3 linked regions of the Lytechinus pictus genome follow. The protein of the gene in region 1 purifies or fractionates together with the protein of each later gene. This does not show direct contact. Links are inferred from orthologs where the notes say so. Each region holds a gene or a part of one and is shown in the gene's direction. Other genes may lie near its edges. The genes, in order: heat shock protein HSP 90-beta-like, serine/threonine-protein phosphatase 5-like and activator of 90 kDa heat shock protein ATPase homolog 1-like.

Region 1 (11,339 bases):
TAAGTGCTGCCCGAAGTGATGCTTCAAGATGATGAAGTCGAAGATTATAAACGCACTGGTTGTCTTCTTTCAAGTTCAAAATGATCTGGGATATAGAAAATAGGCCTACATGAATCAGTGAAACTGGAACATACACACATTGCAATACTCACGTACGCCATGAACAGCTACACGCACAATAATATTTAAATCCCAATATGGTACAGTTTTTGCAAGATGTAGGTCCTTTGTGAGACCACATTAATATGCGTACAATGTCATGTCGCAAGTTTAATGTTCGCCACTTGCACTGTGGGGAATCCCAGCTGGGATTCCCGCGTCTATGGCAAACCGTTTGTGTAAAAACTATATAAACTCTTTTTTTCTCAGATAAACCGAGTTTATCTGAAAAACTGTGTTTATCAACTGATATAACACAGTTTTTCACAGATAAACTGAGTTTATCAACTGATAAACTAAGTTTATCAACTGATAAACTTAGTTTTTCAAGAAGAACTTAGTTCTTCTTGAGAAAAACTGTGTTTATCTGAGATAAACTGAGTTTTTCTGAAAAGAACAGTTATTTGAGAAAAACAGAGTTTATCTAATTTTTACACAAACGGCTTGCCATACGCGTCATGTGGAAATACCCAATGTCAAAGCAAGGTCAGCACATGAATTGCACATTGCTTTTTAGTGGATCCACTGTATAAAAAAATAAGATTGACTAAGATCTAGTCAGGAAAATCTATCAGAATTTTATTTCAGAACCGGGAAGTAATTTTAATGCTGATAGATGCTATAAATATGGTTATTAAAAGAATTTAAGTTCTTGGTCTTTTTTTAAATATTTATATCACGCATAATATCTGTAGCTATCGTATCCTAAGGTTTTGTTTGTTTTATTTCCGAAATTATAAAAACACAATATAACATAAACAATAACTCACAAACAACAACCATGTCCATGATAGTGTAGGCCTATATGATATGGTTGGATGGCCCGTGAGAGCTGATATAATATAAATCTGTGTTCAATCATGGGATGGGGTCTGACATAATGATAACAATATACATAAACAATTGTATAACATAGGCTATGTTATAGCATGTTTGTTTTTATGTCTACTGTATTATATGCCTATATAAAACAACCATACATACCAATAACAAATATCACAAGAAGATAATAGACTCAGTCGCATGTCTCCTCCGGTGTCCGCACGGTGTGTCGAAAAAAAGCCGTTTTACGGATTTTTATATAAACTCAGGAAGCTGGTAAAAAAAATCGTAGGCCCCCTTCGCGAAATTGCGGCTCAACAGTGGCGTAACAGGCGGGGGGCAGGGGGCAAGCTGCCCCCTGGCGGATTTCACCGGGAATTTTTTTTTTTAACGGGAAAAGGAGAAAAGGGAGGAAGAGAGAAAGGGAAACAAAGAAAGGAAAGAGGAAAAGGAAGAAGGGAAAAAAATGAAAAGAAAGGGCAAGGAAATAAATAGGGAAAATGGAAGGAAAGCGGGATAAGGAACGAAAGAAGAACATGTGACGGGAAAATGGGAGAAAGAGGCAAAAAGAAACAGGAAATGAAGGTAGATCCGAAAATCAGAAGAAAAGGGACAAGAAAAAAAGAGAAAAACTTAATAACCCGACCGAGCTGCCGAGAATTGAAAAATATATAGAACGGGAAGAAATGTGGATGGCATCTAAAATAAGCTTGCTAAATTATATGCAATAATTAATGGTCGCAATCAGGACAAAAAAAATCTTTAGCCAAGGGTTAGCCAAGGGCTAGTTATATCCCTCTATCCTAACCTAAGTAAAGCTTTCCGCGGGGCTTTGCGCTGGCTAGATTTACCGTAAAAGCCTTAAAATTAATGTTCACTTTGGGTAAATTTCCAAAGCTACTAGAATAAAATCATATTAAAAGACCAAATTTTTCTGGCTCGATTCGCTCGCTGGAGACTTTACAAATTTTTCCATATTTGCTATGTTGTGCTGCCTAAAAATATTTCGTTCATTATCAGCGATTTGATAAAAAAGTGGTCATTTGCGATTTTATTAAAGGAGAATGAAACTCTTGGAGCAAGTTAGCTTTTGTGAAAGCAGAAAAATCAGAGAATAAGATCAACAAAATTTTGAGTAAAATAGGACTAGCAATAGAAGAGTTATGAGCATTTGAATGTCGAGATCACTAATGCTATGGAGATCCTCCCATTGGCAATACGACCAAGATCTATGATGTCACAGATGAACAACTCTCCCCTTTTGGACACTGAAAATATAGCCCAAAACATCTCTTTTTGCTCATTCTAATCATATGACAAACGATTCATCAATGATATAATGTTGTGAAACCTCTGTACTTGTCCTCTCATAAAGAGAACACCTCACCTTGTGATAGACTCTATAAAAGTGAGAATATAAGTGAAATAAGTACTAAAGTAATGAGGGAGTTGTACGTGTGTGACATCACAGATCTTGGTCGCATTGCCAATGGGAGGAACTACATGGCATTAGTGATCTCAATATTCAAATGCTCATAACTTTCTTATTATTCATTCAATCTTCCTCAAACTTTCAACAATATGTTTCTTTGATTTTTCTCTTTGATATGGATTCAGCTGGTTTCAAGGGTTTCATTCTCCTTTAAATATCGCGAGGTTCCGGGGGCTCCGCTCCAGACCAGTGGCGGCACCAAGGCGGGAGGCACGGGGGGCATTTCCCCCCTGTGAGTTGCCCCCCCCAAAAAGATAAGTAGATAACTTGTTCACATCCAATGTTCAAGTCAATATTTATTAGAGTTTTCATTAATCGTTAATACACATCCTGCGTATTCATAGTTTTCATATATCAAAAACTTTTCAGCTCGTGCTACGCACTCGCATCAATTGTTTGATTAAATAGCCATCCAGTTCATAATTACAAAAAGTGCTTGGAACGTCCAAGGAAAATTAAATTTTTTTTAAATTGCATTGATTTGAATATGGAAACACACACACTAAAGTGGTCTGAATCTATATTTCTTCAGCAAAAAAATTAAAAAATGAGGTGGGACTAGAAAAGTGTGAGGAACTAGTCTATATAGAAACAGCTTATTCATTTTCCTGATTTCTCGGTTATCTGAGCGAGTTAAAGTATTTTTGCCATAAACCATATATAACTTAAAATGTGCTCTTCCTCAATTCTGATTAATTTTCAAAATTTATCTGTTTTTCTGTTATGATACACACCGATGCGATTTGTTGCCAACATGTGGAAGATTCAATTACATTTTCCTTTCTGTAGCTGTGCTTGCACAATCAAAGTTTGATGCGCAGATACATTAGCGATAGAGAATAAACCATGGATCATACTAGAACTATTTATGATTGGTTTGGTGAACATTATAGCACCAATTTGTGCAATTGTTGGAAATCGATAAATACATCTACCCTACCCCCCAAAAAAAATATCGTGATAAAATGCCGCTTTTTTACAAAGATCGTGCATACAATCGGGCATTTAAATCGATGAATATTCAAATTGAATCTGATTGGTGAATTTTACCGCTTTATTTGGACGAAAACATTTTTCGATCGGTAAGCAGTACATGATACTTTTGTATTCTTTACATTTTTATGGATACTTTATTGGTGTTGCTAGTAGTAAAATATATAATAACTAGTTCATCATCGCTTTTTTATTTTTATTTTGCAAGAATAAAAATCAAATTACACGACAATAATTTGACTTGATTAAATATTTACCCTCAATTAAAGTATTGGAAAACCCTATATCCGCATCCGGTGTCGAATATGCTAGAAAAACCGAAGCACATCTGATAATGAACATATAGTTCTCAAAGGAAATATAAAAAAATAAAACCAGAAATTAAAAATTTGAGTAAAATTGAGTACGATTTTATCTATGTTCTTGAAAAATTAGTTAAAATACAATTTTTGACTTCATAAGCCTAAAATATTGGAATTGAATGGCCGCGGATTAATATCAATTCATCCCCGCGCCAGTGCATGCAGAATGCAATTCCCATATGCATCCTCGGCGCCGCCTCGCCATATTGTGTGTCGGATCGGTCGCACATGTTCATATCCATTCATTCATTAATCACGCGAGAGTGTTTCGGTGCCGTAGACTGTCTTGACTTGTCCTGCTCCTGACGAATCTTCTAGAAGAGAATTTTCGAGAATTTGAAGAGGTAAGTTAGGTATATAAGATCTTTCTACCTGAATTCTAAGTTTATTCTACATTATTTCCTTATTCAACTCAATTGACTAAGTCAGACAAGTGAAGTTTGGATCGGGTTTACAAGGGCAGGCTTGACTGGGAGTTGAATTGAAGTTGAATGAATCTGGTCTGGATATTGTGAAACGCTTTGTGACAAAGTTTGTCTAAATTTGATTTAAGATCTGAAGAGTGGTGAGATTTATTGTGTCTTTATTGTCTAGATATGATTCTTGATCATGGTTTCAACTAGCCTAGTCTTACTCTTACTAGTCTGATCAACTTTTGATAGATCTAATCTCTAATTTCTAAAGCCAGACCTAGAATCTAGATCTGTTTCAATTTCATCAAAATTTTGCTCCTTGTCTGGCATGTCTGGGGACATTTTTTTCAAAATGAAAATTCTCTTTTAAAACTTTTTAAATAAAAGCAGTGTTTTTTTAAAATATTTATGCTGGGGGGGGGGGGGGCAGTCAAATATTTTGCTGTATACATGCGTGACCAAAAAATGCTTTTAAAGGTTTTTTTTCCAGTTTTGTACGCGGAATCTTTGCCCATGGCATACTATGTCTATAGCATAGGTCTAGCCTAGGTTAAAAATCTGTGGTAAAGTTTTTTATTCTTTCATTGCAGTCAGTTTTAATACAGATCACAAAAAACCACCATGTCAACTGAAACCAAACGTCCAGAAGAACCAATGGAAGCTGAAGAGGCAGAGACCTTTGCCTTCCAGGCAGAGATTGCTCAATTGATGAGCCTCATCATCAACACATTCTACTCAAACAAGGAGATCTTCCTTAGAGAGCTCATTTCAAATTCATCTGATGTAAGTTTGTTTCATCAATTCCAAATTGCAGCGCATGCAATAATATTGGATAGGGTAAAAGGAAAAGATGAATTTTCTTCTTAACTGAAAGGTGTGTACACTCTGGGCTCTGGCAGAAAAATATGACAATCAAAACACTGAAAATTTGATTAAATTTTGACAAAGATAATCAAAGTTAAGACAATTTTAAAAGCTTGACATTATTTTGGTGTTAAGTTCTTTGGATGTCTTCATGAATATACATTTAGCAAATTGATGTCATATCCTCACTTGATCTGTCTATACAAAATTATGTTTATTCAAATAAAAAAATTTGGACAACTGGTATTCTTGCTACAAGATTTTTATTACATGGGAGACATCATACACACATTTTCTCACATAATAACATAAGAAAATAGAAGGTGGGGCCCGGGGGGGGGGGGGGGGGGTACTTCCATTGACGAGTGGATACCATGCGCGACCATGGGGTCTTGAAAAGCACCCTAAACACGTATTTTCGTCGGTTTTACCTTTACCTACATCATTGGGTTTAGTACAGCCACACCTCGCGCAAATCATATTCTAAACACAGTGTTGACTCTTGGGGCAAAAAGTACGGTACATCCTTTATAAAACATTTTAGTCTTGATTTTTTATACTTTTTTTCAGCATGGAGTACCCCGTTTACTTGTCCCCAATGTTGGAATGTGATAAACTTAAGTTAAGGAAAGATCTAAAAGTTTTTAGATCCGATCTATTCTAAGCCCAGGATTATACAGCCTTAAAATTTCTAGATTAAAAGTTTAGTTTGACCTCAGAAGGCAATTCCCGGATAAAGTAGGCATTGTTTCAAAATTTACTTGCTTTTCCCCCAAGTTCAGAACGGTTTCATTTTGAATTTCATTTTGAAATTTTAGAGCACCCCTGCTATAATTCATATACGATCTTCAATCCAAATGTCTAGATATCCTTGGTCATAGGAGGATCTGAACCACACAGCAAATTAGTCATTTCAGAGTACAGTTCACTGACTTTTAAAGAAACTAGCTGTGTTCGTTAACTAAAAAGAATATAGAGTTCTACTTGGACTTTGCATGAGTCACCTTCCATAGATTGAATAATCACTTGTGAACACCAACTGAATTGCTGAGAAGGTATCTATTTAGAACTGGAAATATGATCAGAGATTTGTTGATCTAATACTGTAATAAAATAGAGATGTAACGATTGAAATTCCATGTGGATGCATTTGTCAAACATAGATATTTGTTATTTTTTTAACTGGGACTTACAACAAGGGATAGGTCTTACTATATCATTTTAGCCTTTAAGGAGATCAACAAACCAGAGAGCAAAATATTATCAGCTTGGTCCATGGACGGGAGGATTATTGTAACTGTACGATGTACAAACAACAAAACTATGAAAAAGCAAATCAACTCAAAGGAAGACCTTGTCAAACTTATATGAATAATTTTGCCTTAAAGGATGATAATCCTTCTACTCTTTTCACCATAGCATGAACACTCACTTTATAATATAAAGTGAAATGACTTCCAGGCCAGTGACTTACACTGCAACTCACAGTTATCATCGAAACATTTGTTATCAATCTCTTCAGTTTTTGTATTCTGTTCTATTACATTGTCTTTTTACTTTTTACATCCTAATTTGTGTACTACTACGAAATTTGCCTGTTTTACTCATATTTTGTCACCTCTTGGTTCAATTTTGCATAGTATACCGTTCGCTAGTTTTAAACATTTTGTTCATTTCAACTTTTCTATTCTAAGTGTTTATTTGTAAAATGTTTGTAAATCCCTTACCTATTGATACTGACACAATGTTACATTTACAGTATGCTGACGACAGCAACAATTCCTCTGAATCTTGTTACTATACTCCAAACCAGTTTAATAATTGTAATATCCTTAAAAATGAAGATCCTAAGAATATGTTTTCTCTTTTACACGTTAATTGTCGGAGTGTTCCAAAGAACTTTGAAAACTTATTAGTATTTCTCAATAGTATTGACCTTGAATTTACAATCATTGGCCTTTCTGAGACATGGCTCAAACCTAATTCACATATACCTCTTTATTACTTGGAGAATTATGATATGTTAACGAATAATCGAATATGTAAACAGGGAGGTGGAGTTGCAGTATATATTAATAAATCTCTAGCATATAAACAGAGACCAGACTTAACGTACATGTTTGAATCTCTAGAAACCATATTTATAGAGGTTAAACCAAACAATAACTCACGCTCTTGGTATATTATTGGTATAATTTATAGACCTCCCTCAGGAAATGTAGATGATTTTATTTGTAAAATGAATTGTATTCTGAGTATTGTCAATAACGAGCACAAAAAATGTTATTTGCTTGGTGATTACAACATAGATCTCAATGATATGAATGCTTCTCAAACCACCAAGAACTTCTCTGACTGTATTAATACCAATTCTTTAACGCCGCTAATAACTGTACCCACACGTATTACTGGTCACACTGCAACCCTCCTAGACAATATATTAACGAATGATGAAAATAACTTAATGAATGGAGTGTTTGTTTCCGATGTAAGTGACCACTTACCTGTTTTTATCATCACTGAAATCCCTTCCTCAATAGATAGTCTTAGCAATGCTTATTCTAAACGGTCAATTTCAGACACTTCCATTGCAACCTTTTACCATAAACTCTCTTCCGTCAACTGGCCTATTAATGATGATGATCCAAATAGTAGTTATGATAGATTTTTATCAATATTCCTTAAATTATACAATGAATGTTTTCCTATTATATCTGCTAAACATAAAAGCTCTTTAAATAAACCTTGGTTCAATAAACATTTAAAATGCCTGTCAAAGAAGAAACTAAAATTGTATCGTAACTACCTTAAAAACCCTTCCGATAGCAATAGAGAGAAATATAGGTCTTTGAGAAACATTTTTACTAAAGAACTACGCAAAACAAAGAAAAAATACTATGATCAGCTTTTCAAAGACACCAAAGGTAACTCATCTAAAACATGGAAAATATTGAATAATATGTTGGGTAAAACTAAAAGGTCAAATCATACTACTTTTGAAAATAATGGAATCACCCTTGAAGATGCAGAGGTTGCAACTCAATTCAATGACTATTTTATTAATGTGGCTCCTCTTTTACTATCAGAAAACATAGGATCAACTGATCATGATTATTGCCCTCCTCTACCAAAGAACCCATATTCTATATTTTTTACTCCAATTAAATACTCTGAAATAATTGACGTAACCAGCAAACTAAAGAATGGAATTAGTCCTGGATTTGACAGTGTAGATGTTTCCATTGTAAAAAAAGTAATCTTTGTCATATGCAAACCACTTTGTAAAATATTTAATTCATCTATAAATAATGGTATTGTTCCTGACCAATTAAAAATAGCAAAAATCGTACCCATATATAAGAAAGGACAAAATAATGTATATAGCAATTATAGGCCGATCTCATTATTGCCCATATTTTCAAAAATATTAGAACGATGTATGTATAACCGGATCTTAAATTTTATAAATAAACACAACATATTATATTGCAATCAATTCGGATTTAGACCACAACATTCAACTTCATCTGCCCTTATAGAATTTATTAATTATGTATCTAATGCTATTGACACCAAACAAACAACTATTAGCTTATTTCTCGATTTATCAAAAGCCTTTGACTGTCTTGACCATAAATTATTATTGTATAAACTTAACTGCTATGGAATAAGAGGTACAGCTTTAAAATGGGTTAACAGCTATCTGTCGGGGCGTAAACAATATACTACATATAAGAAGCATAATTCTGAATCTAAGATCATAATGCATGGTGTTCCTCAAGGGTCAATCTTAGGTCCCCTTCTATTTTTAATATATATAGATGATATCAGATTTACTTCAAAAAAATTGCATTTTACAATATTTGCTGATGATACAACAATTTCCTTGTCAAATGATAATGTAAATAAATTATGTGAAAATCTCAATCAAGAATTAGTTCATGTAGAAGAATGGTTAGTCAAGAATAAACTCATAATAAATATTTCTAAAACAACATCAATTATATTTTCAAATCGCCACTTCAATCCCAACGATGTTAATATATATCTCAGCAGTAAGGAAATTCTACACACATCTTATACAACATTTCTTGGCATCCAACTTGACGATAAACTCTCCTGGTCCAATCACTTTAATTATTTATGTTCGATTATTTCAAGAAATATAGGTGTAATGAATAAATTAAATTTCCTTCCCCAAAACATATTAATCAACCTTTATTATTCAATGGTTTATCCCTATTTAACTTATTGTAATGTTGTATGGGCCACCGCAGCCAACAATAACCTAAATATGTTAAGATTATTTAAATTACAGAAAAGAGCAGTAAGAATAATATGTAAGACTTCATTTAATGCTCACACCAGTGTCCTATTTAAAAGATTAAAATTCCTGAGTGTATTTGACCTTTATAAACTATCCCTTGGATCATTTATGTATTCTTGTCACAAAAAGATAATTCCTGAATCATTAAGCAGATATTTTTGTCTTAATATTGCTACCCACTCTCACCAAACTCGTAGACAATTTGATTTTCACATGCCCTCCGTCCGTACTACTTTTACCCAAAAAACTATAATGTATTCAGGTCCCAAATTATGGAACTCTCTCCCCCCTACCCTTAAAAATAGTTTATCCCTGAATAGTTTTCAACGTCAGTACAAAGAAATTATGTTAACAACGTTCGCATCCAATAACTAAGACTACATGACTATAATTTCTGTGTTTGCCTTTCTCCTACACTTATTCTCCCTAATTTCACCTGTCGATTTTCTGTGACCCTCCACATACGCTAGTCCTTTACCTTTTTTCTATCATTTTCCTCGAAAGGCAAACACTTCATTTTAACTTTATTAATGTTTGTTTTCCCTTGCATTATTTTGTCTTTGTATGTTCTATTTTGTATCCCTTCTTTTTCTTTCTTTACTGGGCTGGAACTTCTAAGATCTAACAGATCTTTAATGCCAGTCCACACTCGAAGCCTGCTCTGTACACTACTTTATTATCACTTTTGTTATTTTGTTTTGTTCTTGCCATTATGTATTTCTTATTTACCTGTATGTATGTTATTTTTATCGAGTGAAATAAATGAATTGAATTGAATTTTGATATTCCATGTTTATAGGCCTTGGACAAGATTCGCTACAAGTCTTTGACTGACCCCAGTGAGATTGAAGCCGAAAAGGATTTCTCTATCAAGATTATTCCCAACAAAGATGAGAAGACAATGACTATCATCGACACAGGTATTGGGATGACCAAGGCTGACATGATCAACAACCTTGGAACTATTGCCCGATCTGGCACCAGGAACTTCATGGAAGCCCTGCAGGTATGCGTAAAAACTAATCGCGATTATGCAGGGTTTGAATTGGTCGGAGGTCATAGCTGTAGATGACTACTCATTTGTGGTGTAATATAGAAATATGACTGAGATAGAATAGTGGCCTTGCCTCCAAAACAGATACATTTAAGGCCTGATTTGGCTCTACATTGCATAATGGTAATATGAAAAATTTAACATTTTCCATGTTTTGTGGCTGTTGGAAAGAGTAAAATACAGCTGAAAATATCACTGAAAATAATGTGTTTGATGAAATGGTACATGTGTTAAACAAACAATTTTAATATATTTTTAGAGGAACTTATGCTGAACATTTAAAAGTTATCAGGGATTATTAAGTTCTCAATGGTGAAATGAAAATGTGGATTTTTTTTGAAATTCTCATTTTAGGCAGGAGCTGATATCTCCATGATCGGTCAATTTGGTGTTGGATTCTACTCTGCATACCTTGTAGCTGAGACAGTAACTGTCTACTCAAAGAACAATGATGATGAAACTTACATGTGGCAATCTAGTGCTGGTGGCTCTTTCACTGTTCATAGAATTCCAAGTAAGTCATTTAGGTCTGCATGTGGATTATAGTTAAAGGGGTCTTTAAGCTTGAAAATTATGTTACTTGAATCAGACAGACAAAACCGACAACTGAAAATTCTTCAAATTGGACAAGGAATAAAAGTTTCATTAAGTTTTGCATTTTTATGTCACAGTTCTAATGCAGTGAGCGAAGTGATGTAATGTTGCCACTTATTCTTTTTTATTTGTTAAATGAAATAGTGTTTATTCAGATTTTTTCTCCAAGAATTTAAAAAATAGGATGAACTAATTTATTATGTAAGATAAGCTGAAACCTATATTCTTTACAAGGAGATATGTATGAAAATATGAATTA
Region 2 (11,339 bases), about 39 Mb from region 1:
CGTAATATCCTTCAGCAAGAAACTTATCCACATTGTGCTGCACTCAACCCAGGTGAGGTGAATGGGTACCCGGGAGGGTTATTTCCTTGAATGCACTGAGGGCTGAAAGGCAGCTCGAGCTAAAGCCGGGGTAATAATGATAATAACATCAGAATAGAATATTTCTAGATTGATGGCGCTTTATAAATGCCTATTATTATTAATATTGAACACGATTGAGTTTTGAAATGTCTTTAAATTTTCTCTCGCAGTGGAAGCCTACACAAACATGTGCCAGAATTAACCTTTTTTGTGACTGGTCAAACTGTCCAGTAAGCTGTGCTAACAAGAGTGGGATCGACGTATAATCAGCTTTATATTTTCGACACTGAATCGTGCACCCTTGATCGTGTTTGTGTTTTGTAATTGCGTTTTCAATCATGATTCATGTTGCTGTTTAAATTTGAAAATAGACATTGAACACAACCTTAGTCACTATCTTGGGAAATGTTTTGGTATAAAAGATAAATGACAGTAGCAGTAAACAATGATTTTATTAGAAAGTCTGTTAAATCAATGTTAAGTGTCACCATATCATCTTAGATCTCGATCTAGTGGTTACATAAACTGAAATTTGTGAAATCATTGAATCTAAGCTGAAAAACGATCCCATTGAAGATCACCTAGACAGAAATGTACATGTAGGACAGTGTATTTATTGATTGGTAAAAGACCCAACCAACAGGTAAAACCAGGGAAATAATCACATTATCATTTTAAGCAGGGCCCGCTTGGAGAATAGTTTTTGGAACTGAAGTGGCTACCCTGGTAAAATATGAAGTCATTTTTGTTCTTAATTAATGAATTATTATTATTTTAGATAGTATTTAGCACAAGAAAGGATAAAAATGCATAAATTCATAACTTAAGAGCAGCTTTATGAAACACCCATTCATTGACCGTAGAATGAATTCTCCTGGAGTCCACAGAATAATTACTCTCTCTATTTACCCTTAACAGGTTCAAGCTCCGCGGGATACACCACATCATATTCTACCAGCTTCCCACCTACCCCCACTACTACAGCGAGCTGTGCAACATGCTGGAGACGCCAACAACAGAGGGCGCTATGAAGGAGCACACCTGCAGCGTACTGTACTCCAAGTACGACGCCCTTCGGTTGGGTCCTGTGGTAGGACTGAAGCGAAATACTCAGATGATGAACTCCGAGAAGAACGTCCACATGTTTGTCTCTGAAGATGTCTGATTGTTTTATAGGGATAGACCAGAGAACAGAAGGTGCAATATAAGGAAATACCTGCTATGCTCTGCTCTGATTATATATGTTGGTCTTTGGATGGAGCCAAGCTGGTGGTTGGTATCAAAGGCAACACCGAATTTGGAGAAGAGTGTCCACATCTTAGTGTCAAGAGATGCTAGTGGTTGGAATCAAAGGCAGAACTGAACTTGGAGGACAGTGTCTACATCTTAGTGTCAAGAGATGCTAGTGATTGGCATCAAAGGCAGCACTTTACTTGGAGAAGAGTATCCGCATCTTTGTGTCAAGAGATGCCACTGGTTGGCATCAAAGGCAACACTGAAATTGGAGAAGAGTGTCTGTGTCAGAGGGTCAACAGATGCCAGTGGTTGGAATCAAAGGCAACACTGGACTTGAAGAAGAGTATCCGTATCTTAGTGTCAAGAGATACCACTGGTTAGTGTCAAAGGCAACACTGAACGTGGAGGACAGTGGCTGCATCTTAGTGTCAAGAGAATGCCAGTGGTTGGTATCGAATTCAACTCAACTAGGAGTTGAATGTTCTCATCTCTTTTTGAGAATATGCAAGTTTAACCCCTAAGCATGATTCATATTATGAGCTGTGAGAAGAATGTCCATATCCTAGTGTCTGATAAGGTACCTTACTGAGAGAGAAGATATCTGATTATCTTGGGTGTCTTCTGGGGAGCGTTTCATGAAAGGACTTGTCGGACATTTTATCCGACAAGTACTGTTTTATCCGACAGCTACTATGGTAACAGTGACTCTCATCCAATCATTATCAAGGAAAGTTGTCAGATCTGACAACTTGTCGGACGAAAATGTTGATGAAACGCCCCCCAGATCCTGGTTTTGTTTGGGGGTGGTCAGGTGCCACGTAATTGCTGTAATATATCAGGTAAATAATGTTTTTTTCAGATTCAGGTATTTTCTCATTGTCTCACCTGCATAGCAGAAGTGAGAGCAGTGCCGGTTTTCATGATGAGGGCAGCATCATTAATTTACTTCAAATTCAGTTAATATTTTCTCCTGATGGTGCACACTGGACACTCCCATTAAGGTTTGTGCACAGTGCGGCACATATCGAAAAAAAATCTTCTTTGCACTGCATGTCCAATAACACTTGTAGTTCTGCGTGTTTCTTATATCAAGTTGGCTTCCCACAAGAAAGGACTTAGTGGTTATTTTTATGATTGTATTTTTTTATTATTCCCTTTTTTGATTTGATGATATTTTGAGTGATACTTGAAATTTAGAATCAACCTTTACATCATTGGATAGCCTACAATGTGCTCTTTCAATATTTGAAATAAAAAAAAATCGTGAAAATTACCCCAAGTCCCTTTCTTGCGGGAGCCAGCAATAATGTTTCCTCCTTATTTAAAAAAAATATCAAATCCAATTATTTTTTTGTATTCCTTGAATCTTGTATGAAGATAATTGTGTCAAGTTCATGCTGCCACTTTGAGAATTCATAATTTTGTATGAATATGTTATCAAATTTCAGGATTTAAATTCAATTATTTCCATTGCCAGGATGCTTTTCTAAATGACCCACTTTTCTATTACTGCATAAATTTGTAAAATTGAAAGGAATATAAAAAAGTTTCAAGCCCAATGAAAGAGGCTTTTGGTCCAATCAGCAGGACCATGGCAATAGTTATCTTAGATTAATTCAATAATTTATATTCAAAGAGTAAATTAAAGTGAGAGCGGAGAGAGTGTATGATATTTTAATATCACAAAATCAACACTGCTGCTATACTTGAATTGTGTAATGCAAGTGAGACTGCCCGGGATGAATCACTTGCTTTTCAGGAAATGCTCATGAAATTTAGCACACACATTTTTTGGCAATGAAAGAATAAAATTTCATGGTTATATTTTGTTGTTGCCGAGAATATTTTGTTGATCTTAGTGATTGCACACTGAATAAAGACTAGTCTTCCTCATGTTTCAAATAAGTTTATCATAATAGAAAATAATAATTGACGATATTTATGGAGCTTATTTATTGTTAAATATTTCATTTTAAAGATCTCGATTGTTGCAAATGAAAATGTGCTGGTAATCTATTATACATTTGATATTTTCCTTTTGAACATTGTAAGAATAATGTAATATGGTTTGCCAAAGATTAAACCATGTAATCAAACATGGTTGCTATGTACACTAATTATCCTAGGAAGAAAAGTGAACGACACATGCTGCATGATATGAGTACAGTTTAATGTGTTTTATATTTATAACATTTTCAATATATTGAAATGCATGAAAAATACAATTTTGTGAGCTTGAAGATAAGCAAAGTAACTAAATGGACATCACGTTACCCATGGTAAAAAATAGTTGGGGGTTCACACCTAGATGTTTTATTATTTTCTTTCGAAATGGGTATTTTACTTCAATTTTGGTACTCTGATTTTAAAATATTTCTGTGACAGCGAACATTTCCAGATTGCCTTGACAGTGGTAGTTGAAGTTCCATCTTTTTCATCAGTTTTAAAACTGATTAAATTATCAGTTACTCTGATTATATGCTTATTTTTAGTACTGTAATATAAATTCAGTATAATGAATTTTGATGGAAAGATATATGGCATTTCATAAAACATGCATTCTATTTTCTCACAATACTTATTGCAATATACCAAAGTAAATGGTGTCAAAAGGAGAAAACCAATTTTGTATATTTTTTTTTGTGAGAAAACAATGAAGTCAGTGACAATGAAATGATTAAATCACAATAAAGTACACCTTATTGGTATTTGAATGATACATCAATTGGGTTTTATGACTGCTGGGTCCCGTCTTACAAAGAGTTGTGATTCATCCGATCAACCTTAATTCATCCGATCAACCTTAATTATATAGAAATCCATCAATATCATAATTGTTCCCACTAGAAATTTGCACAATGTCCTTTTGTAAACGAAGAGGGGCATACTGAATCGCCAAGAAAACAACGGGCCCCAAGTTGCCCCAAGTTGCGATTGATTGCAACTTTTTCTGCGATTGATTACAACTCTTTCTGCAATTGATTGCAACTCTTTCAGGGGCCCGTTGCAGAAATAGTTGCAATCAATCGCAACTCTAAAATCATGCGCAACTTGATTTTCAACCAATCAACAGCGCGCATTTGGGACTTGTGATTGATTTTTGGACTTGCGTTTAAACGCAACTCTTTCTGCAACGGACCCCAGGGTCACCATTGTTGTATAGATATGTTTTTTTTTTATAGCACATGTTTCCCTTCCATTGCCCATTGAACAGACCAACTCTGAATCTGTCCAAATGCATCGGATATCATTTCTTTACTATCAAAATTAATTCAGGGAATCATTATTTCTATGTTTTTGATTGAAATTTCTTGGGGTTTATTGTAAAAAGTTATATAAAGATTGAAATTCCTAAAACATTAATGAACAAATGTGATTTAATGACTTTACGTATTTCATGTTTTTAATGTTTGTTGCTTGTAATGTGCTTAGTGTGCAAGTGAACCAACTACAGTTTTGAGAACAATAATGTTAAGTGATGTATTGCCCTCAAAACTAATGTCGTTATTGTTAACTATCACCAACTTTTTTTTTTTTCATTAAGATATTAGAAATTTAATTTCCCTTTTTTTAATTGCACCCTGTTCAATAATAAATGAAGTATTGCAATATGTTAATTTAAGTCTGTTATGCTGCATACAGTTTTTGTTTGTCCTGTGAAGTATTTAGCATTTTCTGTAACTATTTTTGGTTTCCTGATTTCATAACAAGTTTGGAAAATTATTTTCACTTTTATGAGCGAGAGAATGGAGGAGAGGGGAATGAGAAAGAGAAAGGAAAAAGAAAGAATTAAATTTAAGAAAAAGAAAGAATTAAATTTAAGAAAATGGAGGAGATGAAGGAGAAGAACAATGAGAGAAGATGAAGTGGTGAATGAATATGAGGAAGAAGAATAAGATGAGAAAAAAACTATGTATAGCTAGTGGAAGAGAAGAGTTTAGTTTTTAAACAAGCAGGATAAGGAGAAGATAAAAGGAAAGGATGAAAGAGGACAGAAAAGTGTAGGGGTGTAAGTTAGAAACGTGGATGGCAATATTCAAAGGGGGGGCAGTTCCAGAGGCTATATATTATGTTTACCAAAAAGGAAAAAAAGAACCTTCAAATCAAAGTTGTTATCCATTGTTTACTCCATCATGCAGTCACTTCACTCCATAAATTTTCTAAAATGTATGAGCAAAAGAAAAACTTTGCTTGTCTATACTTAAACTGTTAATCAACATTACACCTGAACTCATAAAAGATTCTCATCTCTTCACAACCATAAAATTGCTTCACAACCTTTTCATTTCTGATTGTCCGTCGAAGATACCGTACTCCAATTTAGAAAAATACGGAAAAATACATGGAGAGATTTCACGTGGATGAAGATGGCAGGTACCGGTGATTCATCGAAAATAAATGCGATTCCTGACATAATAGTAGACAAGCCAGAGATCAGTGATGTCGACAGAGAAAAAGCAGAGGCTCTCAAAGATAAAGCTAATACATTTTTCAAAGGTAAATCATGCAATTTCTTGAACTTTAAAAGTGCAATTGAGAGGAATGAACGTTGCTGTGAAGGGAAGTGCCATTAAACTGTTGATATATCATGTATATAGGAACCGGTACCGTACGGCTCCTATACCAACGCGTGCGATTTCTTACGCACGTAAGCGAGTACGAGATATCACGTTTCCATGTAGGCATCAGAAATCCGTCTGTTTGGAGGAATTTTAAATATGTTTTTTTTCACATTTAAAATATCTCCTACTAGAAGAACACCCAACAAATAGAAACTGGAGCTTCTAGTCTAGTTTGCTTGATAATAATGTCTTTTATGATACAAATTTCTCAGCTGGCTGTTTCGAGGAGAATTTGACATTTTTTAATTTTTGATTTCCCCTCAAACTCGGCTTGCAATCGTGCAGCCTCCATTAGGGGGTTAACAATACAAAACCGCCCTAATGGGCTCTTCAATTTTTTTTTTCTTTATTAAAAAAAATTAAGCCAAGAGAATGAAAGTTTTAGATTTGCATCCACCGCCCGCATGAAAATTTCATTATTTCAAAAAAATTTAATTATTTCAAAAAAAATTCATTACTTACTCTCCATCACTTACTCTCCATCACGAAATTACAAGCAGATCACTTCATGACTACGTTGTCGCCAAAATAATTCCTTCGGACTGCGTGCGAAAGTATCGATAGTGATAACGATATCCGGTCACATTGTCTACGCAGGAAATGGTCTTGGTTCGTGATCGGATCGCTCCAGTATCGATCAAAAATTATCGAGACTCGGCAATTTCATGCATATTCACGCGACGCTCCGAAACCCGGAAATCAATTGACTTTGTACACGTTGCGATAGACTCTACAAACTCCAACGAACACGATGCCATATCGACGCTAATTCGTAAGATTTTGACCGAAAAGCAAGAAGTAATCAAAATTCACTTACCTGTGCGGTATTGGTGAGAAAATAGATCCTCCAAGAATACCTTTCATAATTCATATATAATATAGGAAAGTGAAATTCTAGGTTGATTTTGGTACAAGGTGATAGAGAATTGCACACTTGTTTTGGTGGAATACTGTGTGGGGCTATGGAAGGCTTGCAATGCGCATGCTTACTATATTTTCATTCATAAATTGGCTCTCGGCAGTGGCTGGATGACGTCATGTAATAAGCAAAATGTACACGCCTGCTAGCGTTGAACGCACCGCTATCCGTTCTATACAATTTGCCACTGTACAGTAATGTTTACATACACTATATGCAAGTAGATAGCAAGAATATCGTCAAAAGTAGGTACTAGAAGTAAATAATGAATAATGAAAAAAAGCCTCATGTCATTTGAAAAATTTTCGGACGCAAATCTAATACCTTACTACTCATGGCCTTAAAATAAAAACTCGGGCCTGGGCTAAGCTTTACCCCGGGAAATTGGTGGGGCTCAGGCTAAGCCTCAGCTTCCTTATGAAAGCAAGAGTAGATGTTGAAAAGGGATGATTTTCAAGAAGAATCTGTTTATCACATTTCCATTTTCTGCCAAGGTAACCCTTTTGCAGGAAATGTAAATAAAGGAAATAGGCCTCCAAAACTGGAGACTGTCTCTGCTCTGAAATTGGATACCCAAATTCTTGACAAAAGTCTCTGATATTGGAGATAATCTCCAACATGGGAGACAGTCTCCCATATTGGCTGTGTGCCTCTGACTAAAACGCGAATATGTAATTTGCACCAACTTTGAAGGTGTTGTTCGAGTGCTCAAGTCGAACAATTATGAGATGCACTAAAATAGCCTAAATGACACTAAATACACATTGATATACGAATACAATAAATGAGTAGACTCACCGTAAGTGATATCCCACGATGAATCCAATGACAACAATAAATACAGCACAAATCAGCAATAATCTGGCATAAAAGTGACAACAGCAATAGTATAGTTCAACGTTTAGGTTTGGTTCCGTACATCTGAAGGGGTCTCCAAAAATGGTGTCGCCGTCTCCAACCTCGGTCACGTGATGCCAAATCCTGGCTCTCGATTGGTCATCTCCAGCAGAGTTGCACCCGGCACTCGATCTGGGTCCACCATGAGGCAACCAGCAGCAGATGACAACAGTTCAGTAGTTGGAAACGCCAAAGTTGGCCTGGCTGTTTCCACTACAAAGGAAGCCCATTCGGGCTGGAATCCCCCAATATTACACAGTGATGTGCGACTCGAGTCTGTTTATGCCGGATTCAGTCTCGGACTCAAACTCGAGGCATGTGACTCGGCAACGAGACCGGGTTATTTCCCCAAAATTTCACATAATAATTTCAAACATCACTCATACAACAAGGCGCGACAAACCCTCTTGCCTGCTTCAGTCAGAAGATCCATCACTCTCTGAAGACCAATCTGCTGTTCGTTTGGTAGAGACTCTACTTCCAGAGGGCTGGACAAATGGCCGTCTTGATGCAATACCTGTAAGAAACCAACGTTGCACAGCAGCCTGTGGATCGAATTTTGATGGTGTTGGACTTTCTGATGATATCCTTAATACTTCTGTAATGATTGAAGTGCTGAGACTTAGTCTCCAGTCCTCCTGGCACCTCTTGATGGTTGAGAATTGCCTCTCCACCTGAGATGTCGATGTCGGCAGGACTAGCAGTATTCTTATGACTTGGCACAAGTTGCGGGATACATCTTCCTGGTAAACAAGAACATTCTTCCACAGATGGTGGAACTTCTCTTTCTGCGAGGGCTGGAAAATTTGCTGTTTGAGATTCATCCACTCAACCTCAACAAGGTCTACGTCACAGCCCTTTGCCATCAAGAAGGGTCTAAAGTGATCACACAATGTGTTGATTTCATCTATGCTAAAGTCTGCCAATGACTGCTGATCAGTTGGGATGGTGGATTGGATCCAGTATTTTTGCTGCCTTGATAACTGGGTCCATCACCGAAGTCAGCCAGCCTAGTCTCCAGGCAAGAACTTGCAGCTTTAAGAACCTTCACTTTGTTGGTCTGAAAATCGGCAACATCTTTCTCAGTGACCTTGATTTGGAAATCCTGGAAAGTGAAAGTTGGAGTCTCTTCTGCCTCATTCCCGTTCAGTGCCTTAGTTGAGGGCCTGGTCTTTCCTCCGTCCGATTCAGCCCAGCTTGCGCTACAAGGACATTGCTGACTACACTGGAAACTGGTAGATCATCCTTCTGAAAGCTAAGGGAAAGCTCTGCAATATGCTCCACCATATCCATGTAGCAGTTCATATGGAACACAAACTTAAAAGATTTCAGCATCTTCGTATAGCCCTTCACTTTTGCTGCATCAGCTGAAGAAATGTCTTTACGCTGACCAGATGCTTGTTCTTCAAATTGGCTGACAATGCAATGGTAGTTGGTAGCCAAGCATTTCAGTACTTTTTCGGCGATGGTCCACCTATCTGGTTCTCTGTGAACGACTTGGCTTGACTATATGCTTGTTCGGTGCTGAAGCCACAGCTTTCACTTCTCGCCACTTGGCAGACCTGCTGTAGATGTAGTGCACTTGCATTATAAGTTCGTCAATCTAAAAGTTAAAAAAAAAAGAACAGCATGAGGTAGTAATAACATGATTCACATTAAACACTTCACTCCATTCGTAAAAAAACACAGACAATCTCTAATTCAATGACTTCAGAAACATTGATTAAACTAGACACTAACCTCTTCTTCGTGAACCAATCCATGGTCTTGCACTGCTTTGCTTTGATTTTTCCCCATTACCCGAGTCTGTGCTCGTGGTGCTGCTACCGCAACCAATGCCCATTGGCTGGTGCACATTTCCTGAGTGACCGATGAAGTTAGTGTTAGTGTGCAAATTAATTCATGCAACGAGAAAATGAGGAACGTACCTGGGACAATTTCACCGTAAAGTTATAACACATCGGCACACGCATAGCAAACTGACTGCTGCGCATCTTTCCAAGGTTGGGGATGTTTTGGTTTTAGTGCAATCGACCCCCGAGATTTTGCTTCTATTATAGCATGCAGAATGTGGTCTGCGGTACGGTGCAAAACCCCAACTCATTGGGAGCTAGCTGGAGGGCTAGGCCAGGCTGTTGGTGTGAGCTGTTAACAGCAGCAACTCGCAGGTATTAGGGGAATGTGCACGAATCTCATATACATACATATACATGTACAATACATGTAGGGAAAATTCAAACATTTTGGAGTCTGATTTCAAAAATTTTACACAGTTGCACCATATCTCTTCAAACATGAACTGCTGTGATTGTTATTGGATATTTATAATCATGTTTTTCTCTTCCTATATTTCTTCTTTTTATTTTTATAATTCAATAACATCTATTTTCAGTTTGAACAGTAGATGTGTATTTTTTCAAATTTCCATGTATTTAAGTATTTTTCTTTTTATTATTGTTTTGAACCATTCAAGCTCAAGATTTTCAACAGGCAATCACCTATTACTCCGAGGCTATAGAGATCAACCCCACAGTAGCTGCTTTCTACGGGAATAGAAGTTTTGCTTACTTGAAGACAGAATGCTTTGGATCAGCGTTAGAAGATGCAAGCAAGGCCTTGGAATTGGACAAGTCTTATATCAAGGTGAATTATCATTTGCTTGATCATAAAATGGTTGCATAATGTTAATAAAACCAATATTACATCATTTGAAAACATAGGAATATTGAATATAGAGTTTGTTGCGATTAAATATACTGCACTGAAAGATTGAAAACATATTAACCAATACTTTTATGTTATAAATGATACCAAAAAAAAGAGGATAAAAAAAAAGAACTTTCGCTTGCCACCTGGAACATAAGATAATTTCCAATATTCAGTGTGATGATGTTTGTCACTTCTCTTTTTGACTTGTGTAAATCATTTTGAATATGAACGATCAAGTATTTTGACGGTTTTTAACCTACTAACTTATTACAGAATAATCATGTTTTAAACAAAAAATGATTGATGACTGTTATGAATGTGATGGAAGAATAAAAATTTCATTTATTTCTAGAGAATGTAATTTTTACTGTATGAAAATAGAAATCAAATTATTTCTCTATGCAATATTTATTGATTTATATTTTGTGTGTAAACATGTTTTTCTTTTCAGGGATACTACAGGAGAGCTACAGCTAACATGGCTCTTGGGAAAATCAAGATAGCGTTGAAAGACTATGAAATGGTAAGAAATTAATTTAATCTGTTAAAAAGCTGAAATTAATTTTATCTTTTAAAACCTGTGTAAAAAACTGTATGAAACAGTCATTGATGTGTATTATTCACAAATTATCATCCAATATTTTTTTGTCAGCTTTTGATTCATTTTGAAAAGTTGAATTTTGGATATAGAGCACCCTCTCAGTATTTTTTAAATTTTTTTGAATAAGGCAAAAATTATGCAGATATTTTTTATTTTACTCTTGGCTTTTGATGAATGAAAATATATAAATCACAAGATTTATTCAGTGGAACACATTATTTCATGTTCCTCTCGCCATAATTGGTTCAGGACATACACATTTATATGATATTAT
Region 3 (11,339 bases), about 21 Mb from region 1:
TCCCCGCTTCCCAAGCAGGGTCATGCAAATTTTAACAGAATTTTGCACATGAATTAAGAGCTCCGAAAAATTGACAATTTTCTATGTATAATAGTATTTTAATCACTGGCGTAAATCCGAGCAGTGGGGGTGACAGCAATGATTATAATGATCTGAAAATCCAAAATTTTGAGGAAAAAGAAATATAAAGAGTAAACAAGTATTAAACAGTCCATATTTTGTTCGATAAAAACTCATTTGCTCACTGGCCAAAGGTGAGATGAGAATGAAAAATCATAATTATCGGGATTAATTAAGGGTGCTTATAATGATTGTAGGTCATCAGGCCACAATACAAACTTCCAAAAACGTGGAAATAGTACAATGATGCAAATATTAAAAGAAAAATATTGCAGAAAGGAAAGATTTTGAATAATTAATCGTTAAGATTATATTAGGAGATGATTCAACATTCAAAATTTGGAACAAACTTCATATTTAAAATATTTATTAGATTGTGATGGAAGATTTAAAGTCTCTTATAAACGGATGAAATTGTAAAGTGAGTGAGAAATATTGCTGTCCTCTTTTGCCTCTGTGTTTCAGTAACGGCATTGATTTGGTCAACCATCAGTAACTATTCGTACTCTTATAACTAGACGTATAGCTTATATACCTATATTTTTGTAAAAATTATCCCCCGCTTCCACAAAGATGCCCCCCCCCCCATTCACGCCAGTGTATTCAAAGGATGTTTTTATTTATTTATGATCAAAGTTATATAATGAGTAATTGGTATCATGCAATTCATAAATGGACGTAATACTACTATTAAAACCATACTCTCATGATGGAGGCCCGGGGGGTGGCCACTTACTTTGACGAGTTGATACCATGCGCGAACCAAAAAACACGTAAAAATGATGTCTTTTCAAGATAGGGCGTGTTACGTACATAACGTAATAATGGTGTCATAAAACAGTAAAATAATGTAAAAAGGGTATCTATTCGCTAGGAAAGCTGTACGTGTTTAGGGTCAAATTTGCGGGGGTATAAAAATTAAGACTAAAAGTTTTATTAAGGATGTACTTTTTGCCCCAACACTACGTGTTTAGAGTCCAATTTGCACGAGGTGGAGCCGTAATAAACCCAATGTATATAGGTAAAGGTAAACCGACGACCGACGTCCGTGATATAACAATTAAAATATCACTGTACTTGTTTAGGGGTCAATTCAGGAAATACTTGCCAAGGGTACCGTTTTGTTTCCAATACTTGTTAAGGGAAGGGTTTCACATGTCAATACTTGTTTAGGGTGCTTTTCGAGACCCCATGGTCGCGCATGGTATCCACTCGTCAATGGAATAAGTGCCCCCCCCCCCCCGGGGGATGGAGGGGATAATAATATAATATAATAATAATATAGGTATATTTACCCAGGGAAGCCGCTTCAGTTCTGAAAACTGTTCTCCCAGCGGGCCCTGCATTATTATAACATTTGCAATATGCTAAACGTAGGAACTTGTCATGGCTAAAATCTTGTAAGAATGAGCGCAGGAGCGGAGCGACCGCGCGAGAAATTTTGCTGCATTTTTAGAATGAGAAATTGGGCAAATTTAAGCACTTTGACTGCATTTAAAGATGCATCCACGTAATACACGCATGAACCGTATAGTACGTATTTGATGATTAAAAAAATCTCGTTTCTGTCTTGAAAAGTGGGGAATGCTTGTACATGCCACCCCCTCTCCGAAAAGTGGGAGGTGGGGTGCCCGCCACCCCCCCCCCCCGGATTTATACGCCCGTGATTTTAATGTCAAGTATAATGCTTTCATGGTGCTTTCCGATGCTTTTTCAAACATATGTTTACATTGAATACTATATTATCCAAATTATTGGGGGAGCAAATCGATATGTTTGCCCCTGCCCCCTCGAACAAGGCCTGAGGTTAGAGTGATTTGACTTGTGTATGCTACTGTGTTACACTGATGGGCAGAGATCCTAGGCCATGTTCTTTTGTAGCCTGTCTGCATGTTGAGTATCCCATTCAGGAAGATATATTTATATATTTCAGGATAGTTTTGAAATATCACAAGTTGTAAATATGTATATACATCTGGTTAAAAAAATGTTTTCTCAAATTATAGATAAATTTCTTTATTATCATGTGTCTCCAAAATGCTGGAGAAATGAGATTATACTAATTACATATTTCAATACTAATCATAATTTATAAAAACATTGTACATTTGATGCTGTGATATAGATTCTTTAAATGACATTATAAATCCTTATGATAATAACGAAATAACGTTTGGAGTATTCATTGATCTTAAAAACGCTTTTGATTGTATTAACCATGACATATTGCTTAATAAATTATCTTTTTATGGAATACGAGGTATTGCCCTTAAATTAATACACGAACTTATTATTTAAGTAATAGAAAGCAATGTGTCCTTTATGATTCATGCCACTCTGAGTTCAAAAGAGTATCAATAGGCATATCGTAGGGTTCAATCCTCGGTCCTCTTCTGTTTCTTAAAATTATGTTGATGATCTTCATCTCTATTCTAGTCCCGGGGGGCCACTTACATTGACGAGTGGATATACCATGCGCGACCAAAAAAACACGTAAAAAGGATGTCTTTTTCAAGATAGGGCACGTTACGTACGTAACGTGATAAGGGTGTGTCAAAACACAAAAATAATGAAAAAAGGGTATCTATTTCGCTAGGAAAGCTACGTGTTTAGGGTCAAATTTGCGGGGATGATAAAACAAAATTAAAATGTTTTATAAAGGATGTCCTTTTTGCCCCAACACTACGTGTTTAGAGTCCGATTTGCGCGAGGTGTGGAAGCTGGGGCCGTACTAAACCAAATGGTGTGTAAACTGTAAAGGTAAAACCGACGACCGATGGACTCGTGACATAACAATCAAATATCGCTGTACTTGTTTATGGGTTCATTTCAGGGAATACTTGCCAAGAGTATCGTTTTGTTTCCAATACTTGTTAAGGGTAGGGTTTCAGACGCCGATACTTGTCAAGGGGTGCATTTTCAGAATTGGGAAAATACGTGTTTAGGGTGCTTTTCGAGACCCCTTGGTCGCGCATGGTATCCACTCGTCAATGGAAGTGGCCCCCCCCCCCGGATTCTAGTTTATTAAAATTTGTTCTTTTTGCTGACGACACAAATATTTATATTTTTTAGCCACAGCTGTGACTTAGGTTATTTACAACAAAATATGAAATATCAAACTTAATAAAGTACAGGGATGGACATGGACCCTATTACTAAGTTAGTTTTGAATATTCAGAAAACAAATTTTATGATCATCAGTAGAAACAATGTATTTTTGTGAACAAATTTTCGGCATTACTCTTATAAGTTTAAGATCGCATGCTATCTGCCATCATAAGTTGGAACCAGTGGGATTGGAACCTGCCATCTACTGCTTTTCCGGGCAGTAGATGAAAAATCTGTTAAATTATGTATAAATGATACTGAAGTAGAAAGGGTGGAGAGTTTAAAATTTTCTTGGAATTTATATTGATGAAAATTAAAAATGCAAAAGTCATGTTAACAAAATAAAATCCCTCATTTCTAGAAATATAGGTGTCTAAAAAAAGATTACGTGAATTTGTCCCACAAAATATTCTCTTAATGCTTTATAACACTTTAATATTATCATTTCTCAATTATGGGACCATCGTTTGGGGGTCTTCAAATAAATATTTATTAGATAGAACTTTAGTTATATATATATATATATATATATATATATATATATATAAAGAGTAATAAGAATGATATCTTATTCTGGTTTCAGAGCGCACACTGCTCAACTCCTTCTTAACTATAAAATATTGCCTGTGTATGAATCACATGACGTAAATCCGGTCCGAGCAGTGGGGGGGGGGGGGGGCGTGAAAGCAATTGACCTGAACATTAAAAAAATGGGGGGCACCCCCACAACTATGCTGGGGCTATGTATACGGGGATTTATAACCGTATACATAATCCGTTTACCTTTCAGTTAAAGGCCTCTCATCATTTTTTTGTTTTTTATGGCTAACTACTGAACTAAGTTAGTTAATATCCCAATGCGAGCGAGCAGATATTTAGTAGTTGAAAGACACGATGACCAAAATCGTCATTTATAAGGTGTGATTATTGGATAATGGGAGTGAGTATAGAGAGTTAGCAAATTTTCAGTATATAGGTGGAAGAAAGACTGTTGCCAAAACCCCTTAGCCAAAAATTTCAAGTGGTGTGTAATTATCACATCACGGGCTATATACTTTTTATAAACGCATACATTCGTAATTCCGACGCGTCATTATTCCGAAGGTTCGAATAGTCCGAAGGTTGATCAATATTCCGAAGGTTTGTAATTCCGAAGGTTCGTAATTTCGAAGGTTCGTTATTCCAAAAACGAAATGAGGTTCGTTAATCCGAAAATGAAATATGGTTCGTTTCAAGTACTTATTCTTTTCATGTATTCCATATTTTCTCAAAATCTTCCTTTTCAAGTCTGATCGTCAAAATTTATCAGCTGCATGGCGCTGCGTGCTCGCATTTTCATTAGTACTATAAGCCCTGCTATGCTTCTATATGAATTCTGAAACTACTTAAAATCCATCTTTATGACAATTCATCAAAAGTTTCAGCTCTCACTTCGCGCTCGAAGTAATTAGTTAAATCATAGAGATATGGTATATACATAACTCGAACTATTATGGTCATGATGGTCAGGGGCGGATCCAGGATTTTCCAAAAGGGGGCAAATTTTTCGGAGGAAAATTTTGACAAGCCCCCCAAAAAGAAAGTTTTCAACCACAAATAAAGGATATTTCGTACCCGAAAAAAATTGACAAGCAAAAAAAAAAAAAAAGGTCTTAAATTTCTTAAGAGGGGGCACATCTCTGTTTTAATGGCATTTTTACATTACATTTTTTTTAATTGCTTCTAAAAGGTGGGGCACGTGCCCCCTGTGCCCCCCCCCCCCCCCCTGATGGATCCGCGCCTGATGATGGTATTCGGAAGTGTACCATGTGCAGTAATTGAGAACCCTTGCGTCATTATTTTAGTCTACTACATTACAGACAGTTTTCTTAAAATTTCGATAGAACTAAAAGTAAACCTTACATTAAAAAAAAATGTGATTACGTATAAACATAGATCAAGGTAATTAAATATATATAATATCATAATATTTCAAAATTAAAGGGCTAGCAATATATTGTAAAGGTATGAAAAAGTAAGTAAAAATAATATTATTAAGTGTTTGATTAAATAAGACTATTAAAGTATACAATTCTAGCATTTTCTGATTTTTCATGCTGGTAGCTGTAGATTTCGATATCTGGCCTCATTCTTACTATTCGATATAATACAAAGGAAAATCATATATTTCCGTAGAAATGGCTAAGTGGGGACAAGGAGATCCTCGATGGATTGTGGAGGAACGAGCAGATGCCACAAACGTCAATAATTGGCATTGGTAAGTTTTTTTCGAACGTAGCTGCGTAGCCGTAGTCGTAAGGTACTCGTACCGTACTAGAACTTAGTGCAACACCCATTGGAGATTAAAGTGCCGGGCCTGTCGGGCTGGGTTGACCGGTTGCCTTGTTGTGGTGTCCGCTTCGTAACTTGCGTTTGCTTGCTAATGTGTTTGTCAACTTGAACAAGGAGCGCTGCGCCATGTCCGCATGTCGTTTCATCTTCGAGATAGGCTGCAGAGTCCTTTAAAATTACAGCATATGATGATGAATGGATGCCCCCTTGTTGATTGTCTGCGCACTTAAAATTGGACTGAAATTTAAACTTTAAGCTGTTATTAAGTGAAAATGAAGAAATAAAACACGTCATGACTGAGTTTCTTTGAAAGTCAAAAGTTATGAAAGAGTGATAAAATTGTTGTACTAGATCTAGATCTACTACCACTACGTTATTACTAGCTTCCCGAAATTCAACAAGACAACATGTGAAGCTTTTCTGCAGTAATTTTTGTTCTAAAAAAGTCTTTAGTAAAAGTTTGTTCATCTTTAATTGCAATGGTTTTTCTTTAAATTTCCGTCTTGATATTTCTGAAACTGAAAATCTTGAAATATGATTATGAATATTGAATAAAGTGCCCAAATATCGGACACTTCTAATCATAATTGGACCGAAACAAAAATACAATCATTGAACCAAATAAAATTAAAAATCATGTGTATGATGGGGGGACCTACATGTAAAGCTACGCACTTTGTTTTCAAACGATAAAAACTATCCCAATTTTAATATTTCAACAAATATCTTTCACTAATCTGTGGCAAACATTCTAAAGATCATTAACCAAGAAGAAAATATCGCAAAACTCACTAATACGAAAATCCCGCCATGTTTTCCGAACACCTCTTGATTTCGCCACCCGATGTAGAAGGGGTCCTAAAGCTACGCACTCGATTTATCATGCAAAAAAATAGTATTTCCTGTGCCTCAATTTCCAAAATATATTCATATTATTATAGGAAAAAATGAAATTTAAGCGAATATAACTCCAAAATTCCAAACAGTTGTTGGTTTCTCTGCATTTAGGCAAGGCTCGACATTAGCGGTGGCCCGGGGCCACCAAAAATTCACCTCGGGCAACCATTATTGATAAAATGTTAAGTTTTGGTGGCCCGAATCGGGCAACCAATAATTTTCAAAGTAGCGCAATTTTTCTCCCAATTTTGCACGCATTTATCAACTTTCTACAGCTCAAATTGCAAGCCAGTTCGTCATGCGCCCTTTTTGTTGATCTACACACAAATACACACACACAAAGTTTGCATATTAGGCCTACAGCTATAGCATACAGTAGCTATTATCCAGCCAGACGCGCCGGCCGGCTGGCGTGAGCTTTGCATGAAGCCACTGCATACAGCTGTGCTCTAGATCTAGCTCAGCCTATTCAGACTCAGGGAGCTGCGATAAAAAATGTTGCTGCTGAGAAATCTTCCACAGAACTTTGAAAATCTCAGTCAAAGTCACATTTTACACCAATGAAATGCAATTCTACAGTCTATATTACGAAAATCTGGTGTGTCCTGATTATTTGCAAGTATTAAGAAGAGGAATTATGACCTCTCTTTTGACTCAAAAAGACCGATTTCCACATGAATTAATACACATAAAACACATAGGCAAGTACATCACAGTCCCACGTGTGCATTTGTATGTATGTTGATACTTGGTTTCTTTCGAAGCTGTGTATTTTCTAGCCAAAAACAAACAGACAGTTTCTTTCTTTCTTGTTTATAAATGACTTCTTAAACCACTCTTGAGAAAGTAAATACTTTGGGAAGGCATTTCATTGATATGAAATGTGATTTTTTTCCCCAACATTTTGGCAAATATAGGGAAGGACTTTTCTCACACTTTTTTTCCAGATATAATTTTTGCCGTTTTTTTTTTTTTTTTCCTTTCATTTTTTTTTGACAGTGGTTAAACCATTTATACCCCTTCCCATTGAATATGCCTGATTAAAAAATATGTTTCTACTGAAAATAAAATAATACAAACTAAAGGATATAAAAATAAAAATGTGCCATTCCCAAAAAGTAAGTGAAAATTATTTGCTTGGCTTTTAATTATATTCCAGTCAGAATAGACTGTTGCCACAGCTGTTAAAAAATATATGTAATGGCTTCTTAATTTTCCCCTTTTCCCCATTTTTTTATTAACTTTGTTTTATTAATTTTTCTTTCATTTTCTTTTCTTTTTTCTCTCTAATTTTTTTCTTTTCTTTTTTTCCCTGTTCTTTGTTTTTTCTTTCTTCATTTTCTTTTTGTTTTATTTCACTAATTTCTTTTATTATTTTTGTTTTCTTTTTGTAATATACTTTTTGAAAATTATTTTCGTTTGTTTTCCCCTTTTATGCATTGTTCTAATTTTGCAGCATATTTTTCTGTGATTTTCTCCTTCTATAATATGCTGCAAAAGAGAAAACAGAAATAAACTGGATTTGGGGCATGCATATTCTAGGTTTTAGGATTCAAAGAGGAAGGAAGGAAAAACCATTGTTTTGTACATCTATCTGAATTTGCTATGCACTATTTATTTACTTTACCATTATCTCTATACAGAGATTTAAAAAAAAGTCCACACAACCTGCGAACAATACAATTAATTTATTCTCTTCCAATCATTTCATTTTTACAACGATAGAAACATTTATCAATTAGCAAAGTAAAATAACAGCAAACAAGGTTTACATGTATAAAGTAAAAGTAACATAGTGGTAGGGCCTAGTGGCTGCAGAATTAATATTTCAGAAGTTTGTTTTATTCATTTTTAATGTTTTTCTTTATATTTTTCGGGCCACCAAACTTTAATATCGGGCCACCAAAAAAAAAATTTTGATGGTTTTGGTGGCCCGAACGGGCCACCACCAAAAAAAGTTAATGTGGAGCCTTGATTTAGAGATTTACTGCAGCCTCTGTAGAAAAAATTGAATAGGAATCGTTCGTCACTCTGCAGTCACAGTTCCACACACAGAGTGCGCATTTGCCATAAAAACTGCATGCGCGATGAGTGGTGCGTAGCTTTAGGACCCGCGCAGCTTTAGGACCCCCTGCCATAGATCTATTTCTGTAGTACAAATGTTAAATATTAAATGTCATAAAAAATTGAATTGAAAAAATTATTTACTTACTACCACTACCAGAAGCAGTGGTGTAACTACGTGTATGGGGGCCCGGGGGGGGGGGGTACTCAACCAAAAAAGTGGTAGGTATGTGCTGCGGGCGAGACAAAAAACGGGGGCTTTGGAGCGGGCTTATTGTAAAAAGGAGGGTCCTCGGAACGGGCTTCGGAACTACAAGTGTTTGTGAAACGGGGGTCCTTGGAACGGGTCGCCTGCGTGTGAGTGCGTATGCATCCCTATGGAACGGGCATACGTGCATGCAGCTAGCCCGGCGGCATGGGCGCCGTGTGTGCTCGCACAGAGGCGATGGTCGGACAGTGCTCTGCGGCCGCTTTTCGCCAAAATTGCAGCTCATTGTAGCGGATCAATGCGGCTGGAACGGCGTAATGAAAAATATAAGAAGCTTTGGAACGGATTTCTTCTTTTTTCTCGATAAGAAGAAAATGCTATGCTTTGGAGCAGCTTTCTTCTTTTTCTAAAAAAAATAAAAATGCTATGCCTTGGAACAGAAATTTGAGTGTAAAAATGGGGTCCCCTCCGCGGCACCTACCTACCACGCGTTATATACTGAGTGCCCCCCCCCCAAAAAAAAAAAAAAAATGGGGAAAAGGAGAAAAAGAGGGAGAAAGGAAGAGAAACGTAGTGGGAAAGAAGAAAATATTATTCATTATAATGTTATATTATAATTTACCTCAAGTGATGTTTGTGTAGGCTCCACTTCACTACCCCCTACAGCACGTTTTTTTGCGATAGATCAGACATGTGCGATCTCAGCGGCGATAATTCTGGTGGAAATCACTTCCCCCTTACGAGATTTTTTTGGGTCATTGATCTTTTGGAGGCCATAATTAGCGAGGGTCATAACTCATAAGAATCTTTGGAAGTCAAAATCATGGATTTTACCCATGGATTTTACCACTGGAATATTTTTTTTAGCAGCAACCTGGATCTACTGTGTGTGCTGTTAAATAGCACTGCAGGTATGTTCAGGTATCACATGCATGCAAGTCCCCTGCCAGTTCTGGTCCCTGTAGTTGTGGGGAAGGAGTTGTTCGTCATTTTCGTCCGATATTTGGAACCATCCAATATTTGGGGAGTTTACTCTAGGTGTACATACATACAGTATATCGGCATGTTTTTTTGGTCACGATTCAACAGCCCCTGCCCTTTATTCAACATATTATATGTTGAATAAAGGGCACACTTTTAATCTATATGCAATCTGCCAGCCAAGAAATGCTTTTCTAGACCTTGTTTATATGGAGAATATATCATATATTCTCCATGTAAACAAGGTCTAGAATATGGAGAATATATCATATATTCTCCATGTAAACAAGGTCTAGAAAAGCATTTCTTGGCTGGCAGATTGCATATAGATTAAAAGTGTAAATATTTGATAATCATGATTTTTGACAAAAGATTATCCAAATATGACTTTGTAGTTGTACTTCTTCTCAAAATGCTAGAACAAAAGTTTGTTTTAGGAATTGTGAGAAAATAACTGAGTGATTTTATAGATCTTTTCGCATCCATCATCTCGTCTTTTTGTCATGGAAAACAATTGCACAGTCGTTACATGCCAACTGCCAGCCAGACAATTGAAACCATGCAGCTTTTTTTTTTCAATCATCTGAGTATCTGCCTATAAATCGGCAAAGCGTTTCCTTTGGTCTTGCATTTTGCAAAGAAAATTCAGATTTTAGATGTCATGTTTTCGTAACATGCAGAATAATATTTATGGTATTTTAACAAATTAATTTACCATCTGATATATGGATAATTTGTTTTTAGAGTGAAAATATTATTTAAAAAAACCTATTGCGTTATACTTTGATGTTGTCGATACTTTTCTATTAACAGGACAGAAAGAGATGCATCAAAGTGGTCCAAAGAGAAATTGACTGAACTATTTACAAATATCAAGGTTGGAGATGAAAGGGGTGAGTTGTAATTTCTTAGAGAAATTTTATTAATTTCACAATGCTGTTCTTTGCTTCATCAGAATTAAACCCATTTGTTTTTGCTTTTTTCTCACATTTATGGAATGTACACAACTATCAGAATTCAATTGGAAATCATTCTTGAAATGACAGTAATGGAAGGACAAGGTAGATTCGAGCAGGTGAATTAAATGTGGAATTTTAAACTAATTATGTGAAGATTTTGAGGAAATAAACAAAGACATGAAAATATTGCATGCTTGACTTTTGTGAAGCCATTGGGTTATGGTCAGCCCCCCACTTTCAAACCATTTTGCAGCCCCTGTGATTTAGTTTGAAATTGCCGAGTGAAAATATTTTATATACAGGTCAGGTGTATTAAATGTTTAGGATTTCCAAAATTCTTATCCTTGTTTTCGGTTTGATTTTTTTTTTAGGTCAGTGTGAGATTTATGAAGTGAAGGAGATGAATGGTGAAGCCTCTGCCAGCAATCGGAAGGCAAAACTGATCTTCTTTTATGAATGGGATGTTAAGTTGAAGTGGAAAGGTGGGTTTGAGCAGAATCCATAACCTAATTACCTTTTTGTCTTGTTTTCTGCTATAAAGGGTTGATAAATTACTCTTTTTTAAATTCTTTTTGATGATTGCTGCCACAGCAAGAAAAACCTGATAATCGATGTAATAATGCCTCCTGCAGCTCTCCTAAGAGTCCTATTAAAGGAGATATCTACACAGT

The links.
Region 2: the proteins of heat shock protein HSP 90-beta-like (region 1) and serine/threonine-protein phosphatase 5-like fractionate together in Caenorhabditis elegans (co-fractionation; 3 studies listed by BioGRID). This does not show direct contact. The link is inferred for Lytechinus pictus from reciprocal best matches to the Caenorhabditis elegans genes hsp-90 and pph-5.
Region 3: the proteins of heat shock protein HSP 90-beta-like (region 1) and activator of 90 kDa heat shock protein ATPase homolog 1-like fractionate together in Caenorhabditis elegans (co-fractionation; 3 studies listed by BioGRID, with this or other methods). This does not show direct contact. The link is inferred for Lytechinus pictus from reciprocal best matches to the Caenorhabditis elegans genes hsp-90 and ahsa-1.

The regions. Positions count from the first base shown.
Region 1 is NC_087251.1:7,016,251-7,027,589, reverse strand, and holds the start of heat shock protein HSP 90-beta-like, read left to right. Parts: upstream 1-3,775; 5' UTR 3,776-4,172; intron 4,173-4,831; 5' UTR 4,832-4,862; coding exon 4,863-5,024; intron 5,025-10,231; coding exon 10,232-10,438; intron 10,439-10,840; coding exon 10,841-11,000; intron 11,001-11,339. Other genes in the region: uncharacterized protein LOC129266063, read right to left, coding at 153-161. UniProt on the Caenorhabditis elegans protein: Molecular chaperone that promotes the maturation, structural maintenance and proper regulation of specific target proteins involved for instance in cell cycle control and signal transduction. Undergoes a functional cycle that is linked to its ATPase activity.
Region 2 is NC_087251.1:45,942,527-45,953,865, forward strand, and holds the start of serine/threonine-protein phosphatase 5-like, read left to right. Parts: upstream 1-5,633; 5' UTR 5,634-5,678; coding exon 5,679-5,814; intron 5,815-10,228; coding exon 10,229-10,398; intron 10,399-10,915; coding exon 10,916-10,987; intron 10,988-11,339.
Region 3 is NC_087251.1:28,026,774-28,038,112, forward strand, and holds the start of activator of 90 kDa heat shock protein ATPase homolog 1-like, read left to right. Parts: upstream 1-5,043; 5' UTR 5,044-5,405; coding exon 5,406-5,485; intron 5,486-9,599; exon of another isoform or gene 9,600-9,639; intron 9,640-10,522; coding exon 10,523-10,602; intron 10,603-11,039; coding exon 11,040-11,150; intron 11,151-11,339.